2 linked regions of the Rattus norvegicus genome follow. Each later gene encodes a partner of the first gene's protein in a complex. Each region holds a gene or a part of one and is shown in the gene's direction. Other genes may lie near its edges. The genes, in order: Ap2m1 and P2rx4.

Region 1 (4,345 bases):
CCTCACAGGGTTGTTGTGAGGATTTAAATTAGATATTGTACGAAAAGTGCCTAGCACAGTGCCTGGCACATAATAGAGTAGGTGCTCAATAAATGGTAGCTATTATTATTACTATTTCTATTTCTATGTTGTTGTTGTTGTTATCACTAATTTACTCTAAACTTTTAGGGTATGTTGGGAAGAGAAAGCTTTTGTGAAGATAGACATGAAGCCTTCAAAGGTTACAAGTTTCTGGGTTTTGGCTTCTGGAAGGAGGTTGCTAGGAATAGTAGGGTTAGCAACCAGATTTGAACACCCACCCCTTCCTTTCTGCCATAGAAGTCTCTGGCCTGTTTAGGCAACAGATGTCTCTGTCCACTGAGAGAAAAACCAACTTTTCTAGATTTGGCAAAAATCAGACAGCCGTTTGTGTTCGGGTTGGTTCTGCCTCATTCTCAGTTTGGATATCATAAGAAATCTTTTTTTTTTTTTTTTAAGGTTGAGACAGGGTTTCTCTGTATATCCCTGGCTGTCCTAGAACTCGATCTATAGACCAGGCTGGCCTTGAATTCAGAGATCTGCCTGCCTCTGCCTCTGCCTCTGCCTCCTGAGTGCTGAGATTAAAAGCATGTGCCACCACTGCCCAGATGAGAAATGGGATTTTAAAATCCCATGCCCAACTAAACTGGAGTGGTGGACAAACAGGCTCCCTTTTGTAGCCTGGGATGTCTTGAAACTCCCTATTTAGACCAGGCTGGCCTCAAATTCACAGAGATGCTCTTGCCTCTGCCTTCAGAGCTCTGGAATTAACGGCATATGTCACCAGCACACCACAGTCACAGATTTTGCTGAGAAAAACACTAATGTTTTACCAAGAATTAGTGCTTTCCTTCCCAGCCTTTCTGTTTGGATAATTATCCCTGAGAAAGGGCTCAGTCCTATCCTGGAATATATATAAAACCTCGGGAGAATCAAATGTGTTAAAAAGCAATAAATTCAGCAGTAACGGGCTTATGCAAGTTGTGTTTGTAAAGTGAATATAGCCACTCTTCGAAATCTGGAGACAATAAAAATCTAATAATTCAAAATTTACAATTGGTTTCAACAAACAGCTTTGGTCTCTTAAAGCCTACCTCCTCTAACTAGGAACGAGAAGGATTACAGAGACTACACTTCCCGTGATTCTCAGTGAAGCAAATAGTCTGTGGAGCGTACCATGACCCGTGTTGCCAGCAAGACGCACTGAGGCCGACGTCGACTCTGTCTCGAAGGCTGTCGGTAGTTGTAGTTTTGCTAGACTTAGGGCACTCGGATGTGTCAGCTTGAAAGCTTCGGAGACTGACGGGACTTGTAGTCGCCGCTGGAGGTGAGCGCGCAGGCGCAGCTGCGGGCGGGGCGGGGCGGGGCGGGAGCACTGCAGTGAAAGCGGAGGCAGCAGACAGGCGAGCTGGGGGCGGGCGGACATCTTGGGATCCGAGAGTGGCCAGGCCTGCCTTGTGGGGGCTGCTGACTCCAGGTGAGCTGGGAAGCTTGACTTAGAGATCCTTACCGGGCGGCGAGGGTGCCGTGGTCACCTGCCCTGCCCCGCACTGTGCTGGGTGGAAAACTGCCCGCACCCGGGAGTGGCCTCAGCCTCCAGACCCGGGAGGGAGCAGACGACCGGGCGGGGGTGCCTTGGGCGCGATTGCAGCAAGGGCGGGGAACGACGCCCTCCAGTAACCCGCTGGGCGTCTCCGGGAGGAGACTCGGGCCGGAATCCTAGAGCCGGGGACCCCGCGCGGCGCCCCATCCCTAGAATCCTGACAACCGCTCAACCCCGAGGTTTCCCATTCTCCCATCCCCCAGGACATTGACATCCCCTGGTGCCACTCCCTTGGACAGTGACAGGTCTCTCTGGAACACTGAGAGATTCCTTCCTCCTGGTTTACCCCCCACTGCTCTTCTACCTCAGACCTATGACAGCCCCCGCATCCCTTGGTGACATCTCCTCGGCCTAGATGTCTCCCCCCTCTGCTGAGAAAAACTCCACCAACCCCTCATGCTTCACTAAAAGAAGAGTAGGCCCTATCTCTCAGCTTTCTCTTTTTCTACTGTCTATCTTTTCGCCTTGTTTTGCTCCTCCAAAGCTCCTATGACCTTTGTCATAGGAGAACTTGAGGGACTCCCACAGCTGTATTTGCTGCTGTGGGGTCATCCTGGTCTATTGCTAGCAATTACAGCTAATCGGTCCCTTAACTAAATATTCCATTTCTGTCCAGGACACAACACACACACACACACACACACACACACACACACACACACACACACACCACAACCACAGCCACCTCCACCTCCACCACCACTCCCACCCTCGGCTGATACCTGTGGACTTGGTCCTTTGCTCAGGGGACAACCTCCATTTTGCATTTTCTTTCTCACCTTCTTTGAACTGTGAGACAAGTGTGTCCACTACCTTAGTTGACTTGTGACTGGGTTTCAAGGGTTAACTTTTCAGTTTCAGAAAGTCTTGTTAGACTAACATCAGTGAAATTAATACCAGGGTTAATCCAGAAAAATCTAGAACCAGATTAACCTATTTTCTTAAATATTCTAAATTAATTTTGACCCAAATGAATTTGGGCAGTTGAGACATTCTGTTACCTTGCCCATTGCTTAGTAAACACCAGGCCAGAAGTGACTGACTTGGCAGCTCTGGAGTCACAATTTAGCAGGATTAATGCTACATACAGACCTAATTTTTGTCACATTTTGAAATTTTGATAAGACAGTGACCAGAAATAATTGTAAAGGGGGCTCAAAAAGAAAGAAAGAAAGAAAGAAAGAAAGAAAGAAAGAAAGAAAGAAAGAAAGAAAAGAAAGGAAAGAGGGACTTGGCATTTCAGAGTCCTTACTGTTCTTCCAGAAGACCTGAGTTCAGGTCTCAGCCCATGTCGTTTGGTTCAGTACTGCCTGTAACTCAGGCTTGTGGGATGGAGGGCAGGGCTCCACCTGACGTCTAGACTTCCACACACACAGCACACACATTGGCATACCTATGTGAAGGTAAAAATGAAATCTTTCTAAGAAGAACTTGGGAGCATTGGAGCGTGGTTTGTTCGCCCTGGGCCTCTCTGTTCCTTTGCCTGCTTATCTCACTGCCTGGGGAAGACGAGCCTGCTTCAGCCACATTCCTGGGTTTGTGTTAGAGCCTAAGGGCCTCTTCTCCCACCCCCACCTCACTCTGCACACCCTTTCCTGGAATGTGTAGCCTTGTAGACGGTCATGCTCTGCTGCCTTCTTGGAAGAATAGTGCTTGCTCTAAAAGTTATGCCTGGTGGCGGGCACAAGCTAACTCCTACCGCCTAATCCCTACCGCCATTCCTGCATCCGCGGGCAAGCTTTTCTCTGACTCACTGAAGTTGCGGGGAGTGAGAGTCTGCACAGCAGGGGTTTGAAAAGAATCTTAGCTGAGCTCAGCATTGTGAAGACGACGGGGAGGGGTGCGAGTGGGGGTGGGGGGGTGGTTACTTTCAAGCTCAGCCCTCAGAAAAGACTGAGTAAAATGGCCTTAACCCTGGGCCCCACACTTAAAGTACTGTCTCCTATCCAGTGTGGAATAAACAGGAACTGGAGCCTCGCTGTGCGTGCAGGCGGGGCTTCCTTGGGAGGGCTGCAGGGTCACTTGCTAGAGGACTGAGTCAGGAAAAAAGGCAGCCCTGTACAGCCCCGCTGAGATGGGCAAGGGATCTAAAGATTTCCCCATTCCCTATCCCCACCTTTCCTACCTAGGTCTGTTCTCAGAGCAATGGGTCACAGAGACTGAGCTGCCGCCATGATCGGAGGCTTATTCATCTATAATCACAAGGGGGAGGTGCTTATCTCCCGAGTCTACAGAGATGACATCGGGTAAGTCCCCTGCCTGAGCACGCTGTGCCCCAGCCCCCCCATCGCCTCAGCCTGAGCATGCAATATAGCCTGGTTCCATTGGGCATCGGCCCAGCTGCTAGGCTCAGGGCCTGGGGATGACACCTCCACCCCCTAGGGTTAGGAACTCCTGCCCTTCCTGCTCCCTGTAGGTCTGGTCTGGTGGCTGAAGATGAGTGCTTTTGCCTGGTCAGGTTGATTCTTCCTTTCAGGAGGGAGCACTATCTCCTGTGGGTGTGGTTAGTGTGTGCTCGGTGGTACTAATCCATCTAAATCTTGCTTTCAAATCCTTCTCATACTGAGAGCCTTCCCTAGATCCCCTTAAAACCCCTCTCTAGTCTGTTGACTCAGCTGTTTTCTGTTCTTCTGGACCCTCCCTGGTTGTGAACAGGCTGCGCTCTGTGGGTCATGCTGCCTTTGTAGTTCATCCGGGTGGACCTGGGTAGCGCCTAAGACCTCA
Region 2 (3,808 bases), on another chromosome or scaffold:
TTCTAGGCTGGTCTAGAACTGAGATTAGAAGCATTCACTGGCACACCTGGCTTGCATTCTGTTTCCAATCGTGGAGTCTTACCGTGGAACTACCCTCCCTACCCTACCCTACTGTATTCCATTTCTGTTGGGCAGCATAGTGGTAGTAGGGTCTCCTTACACAGAAGTGCCTGTCCCGATCGATCATCTCTAAATCAATAGTGCTTTCACTTTTACCCATCTTCACTACGACCAACATTGACTCATGGTATAAATTCAGGACTTTTTTTTTGTTGTTGTTGTTTTGTTTTGTTTTTCTTTTTTCTGGAGCTGGGGACCGAACCCAGGGCCTTGCGCTTGCTAGGCAAGCGCTCTACCACTGAGCTAAATCCCCAACCCCTCAGGACTTGGTTTTAAGCTTTTAGCTTTTAGCTTTTGTTGTTTTGAGACAGAGCCCAGCTCTGCAGCCTGGGTAACCCTGCACTCACTAAGTAATCCAGGCTGGCCAAGGAATCCGCAAAGTGAGTTTTATGCCTTAGCCTCCTGAGTGCTGGGCAACTCATCACACCCTGGCCTTTGTTAACTTCCTGGCTTCATTAATCTTGGTGAAAAGTGTGACCTCTTTCTGCATGAAGCGAGTCTCCTCAGAATTCCCTGTGATCTTCTTCACGTGACGAGCAAATAACTAAGCCTGTGGTGATGGCATCATCTCCCCTTCCTGATTCAGCACCTCGGTGTACGGAGTCAGGAAACCCGAAGGCTTTCGGCCCTCACCTCTCCACCAGAGTGGATTACAGGGAAACACCGGTGCTGTTGGCTTCCTGGAAGCCCCGTAGGAGAGGACTCAGTGGGAGAGAAACCATCTTTAGGATGGGCAGAGGATCGAGGATCAAACAAACCCAGGAGAAAGTAACCCAAGAGCCAGGCAGTAGGGGTGCACACCTTTAGTCCCAGTACTGAGGATGCAGAGGCCAACGGATCTCTGATTGGAAGCCAGCCTGGTCTACAGAGTATGTTGCAAGGCAGCCAGGGCTACAAAGAGAAACTCGATCTTGAGAGAGAGAGAGAGAGAGAGAGAGAGAGAGAGAGAGAGAGAAGGTAACCGAGTTCCTATTTCTGAAGTCGCTCGAGGTGTATCTGGAGTAACAGACTGGTGTTCTGTAGCAATGTGACGGCAGCTTGGCAGTGTTCAGACTGCCCGGCAGTGCTTAAGATAACTGCTCTCGTCTTATTAACTTATCTCCCTGAAACCCTGTAAAGTTCTGTTATCCTTCAGTGTAAAGGCAGGACAAGCTGAGGTGCGGAGCAATTAAGTGACCCAGTGACCCCGTCACACAGACAGATGCCTTCAGGTGTGTAGTTAACTCAGCCCAGGGGCAATGCCCTTCCTTTAGAAGGAAGGAGCAGGAGATGACCAGAATCCCTGGGGGGAAAAGATGGGACTGTAAAAAGTTTCCCCGGGGGTTGGGGATTTAGCTCAGTGGTAGTGCACTTGCTTAGCAAGCGCAAGGCCCTGGGTTTGGTCCCCAGCTCTGAAAAAAAAAATAAATAAATAAATAAAAAGTTTCCCCGAGGGGCTGAGGGGAGAGCTCAGACAGTGAAGTACTCAATGCACAAAGCTGGCCGACCAGAGTTTGATCCCCAGAATGAGGTGCTGAATCACACGCCTGTAATCCCAGCCCTGGGGAGGCAGACACAGCTAGGACCCTGGCACTCAATGGCTTAGCCTAATCATCCAGCCCCAGTTAGATCCTGTCTCAAAGAGACAAGGTGGAAGGAAGCCAGCCGTGGCGGCAGCACGTGTCCTTAATCCCAGCACTCAGGAGGCAGAAGCAGGTGAATTTTAGGGAGTTCAAGGCCAGCCTGGGCTACATAGTGAATACCATCATAGTCCACACAGCAAGACTGTGTCTGAAAAAGTGCTTGCTAGACTGATGTAGAAGTGCACGCCTTTAGTCCCGGTAATCAGAAGGCAGAGGCAGGCAAATCTCTGTGAGTTCGAGGCCAGCCTGGTTTACAGAGGACAGCCAGGGCTACTCAGAGAAACCCTGTCTAAAAAAAAAAAAAACCAAAGTGACTGCTATTACAAGCCCAACAACTTGAATCTGGTCCCCAGAATCTGCGAGGGAGAAAATCAACTTCTAAAAGTTGTCGTCTGACTTTGACACGGGAGCCACACCCACCCACAAATACCCACACACCACACACCAACCAACAGCTGGGTAGAGTGGCTCACCCTACAGTCCCAGCACTTGGGAGTCTGAGGTGGGAGGATTGCTACCTCAGAGTCTGAGTCTACCCTGAGCCTCAAAGCCGGCACCCGATCAGCCAGGGCTACGTAGCAAAAGCCTGTCTTAAACACCCAAAGTTGCCTCAAAGATAAGGTTCTCTTGTCTGGAGACAATAACGTCTCAGAGGTTTTTCTGGCTTGGGTTCAAATCCCTCCCCTGCTGCTTGCTACCGATATGACCATAGGAGCGCTTGGCTTAGACATTCTTTGCCCCTGCTCCTATCTATACATTGTAGGTAAGAACAATGCTATGTGCCCCATAAAGTGGTTGGGACTAAGTGACCTACTGTGTGCAAATCAAGTGGAAACTATTGTTCTGATAACCTACTTTTGGTGAGTCCCATAGATCAGAGTGTTTAGAGGCTCTTCAGACATCCAGGAATAAAGGTAACGTTCACTCTGTATCTCCTGGATACTCGACGACTGGGCTCGCCAACCCCGGCCTTCATTTCCCACAAATAACCAGTGGGACTACTACGCCTGTTCACGGTAGCAGAGTGTAGACGTTGGGCAGCTTTTTCCATTCACATAGTTGGTAAATGCCACACCTCAGTCCTGTGGCTATCGGAGACTCCCCGGTGCCAGTTCGAATTTACCGTCCCTATGACCTACTGTCTTTCACAGGTGGGTGTTCGTGTGGGAAAAGGGCTACCAGGAAACGGACTCCGTGGTCAGCTCGGTGACAACCAAAGCCAAAGGTGTGGCTGTGACCAACACCTCTCAGCTTGGATTCCGGATCTGGGACGTGGCGGACTATGTGATTCCAGCTCAGGTATGGCTTGGCGTGACATCTGTGCGCAGGAAGCCCTTTGCTGACTTTGTCCACATACAGTGAGTGGCCCCAGTTCGCCACCTCCGGGCCCAGGCTGTTTTAGCCCAAGCAGGCAATACAGTCACCAGATCTCCCTGGGATGTCATTTCTTCCACAGAACCCTTGAGAGCTCTAGAGAGAGCTCTGTAGTGTGGCTGGCTCCAACCCAATACTCTGTCTTTCCCACACCTTCATGTCTCCAAGCTCTTGAGAGTAAGGTCTCTTTTTTCTAGCGCCAGAGGCCTCACACATGCTAGCCAAGCGCTCTACTGCTGAGTCAGATCTCCAGCCCAGGTTAAACATTGACTCGGCTATGAGCCCCTTGGCCAGGCCCCACCCTCCAGTCTCCTTCCACACGGCTGGTGTGCTGGCAGCTGATGGGCTGGCTTGGTGTGTTTGGTGGCCACATTGCGTGAGCTATGAGCACTTGGCTTGGAGCTAGGAAAGGGAAAGCAAGGACTTCAAGCTAGTCTCTTCCAAAGGACCTGGGTTCAGTTTTCAGCACCTCTGTGGTGGCTCACAACCATTGGCAGTTCCCCAGTTCTAGGGGATCTGATGGCCTCTTCTGACTTCTGCTGATACCGTTACGTTACTGGCTCCCAGACTCTTCTCTAGAGTCTTTTGGTATTTATTTGTTTTCGAATGTCTCACTATGCTTGCCCTGATCTGATGAACCCAGAACTTACTGTGTAAACAGATCGGCCTTGAACTCACAGATCCTTCTGGCT

Evidence for each region.
Region 2: the proteins of Ap2m1 (region 1) and P2rx4 are in contact, whole or in part, in a crystal structure (PDB 2BP5), measured with the Rattus norvegicus proteins. Residues at the interface, in NP_446289.1 of Rattus norvegicus: Phe174, Leu175, Asp176, Lys203, Asn217, Leu316, Ala317, Gln318, Lys319, Glu391, Val392, Pro393, Lys400, Val401, Arg402, Tyr403, Leu404, Ile419, Lys420, Trp421, Val422, Arg423, Tyr424, Ile425; in NP_113782.2 of Rattus norvegicus: Val375, Glu376, Asp377, Tyr378, Glu379, Gln380, Gly381, Leu382, Ser383, Gly384.

The regions. Positions count from the first base shown.
Region 1 is NC_086029.1:93,865,603-93,869,947, reverse strand, and holds the start of Ap2m1 (AP-2 complex subunit mu), read left to right. Parts: upstream 1-1,467; 5' UTR 1,468-1,495; intron 1,496-3,750; 5' UTR 3,751-3,793; coding exon 3,794-3,867; intron 3,868-4,345.
Region 2 is NC_086030.1:39,516,552-39,520,359, reverse strand, and holds part of P2rx4 (P2X purinoceptor 4), read left to right. Parts: intron 1-2,893; coding exon 2,894-3,041; intron 3,042-3,808. UniProt on the Homo sapiens protein: ATP-gated nonselective transmembrane cation channel permeable to potassium, sodium and calcium. CTP, but not GTP or UTP, functions as a weak affinity agonist for P2RX4.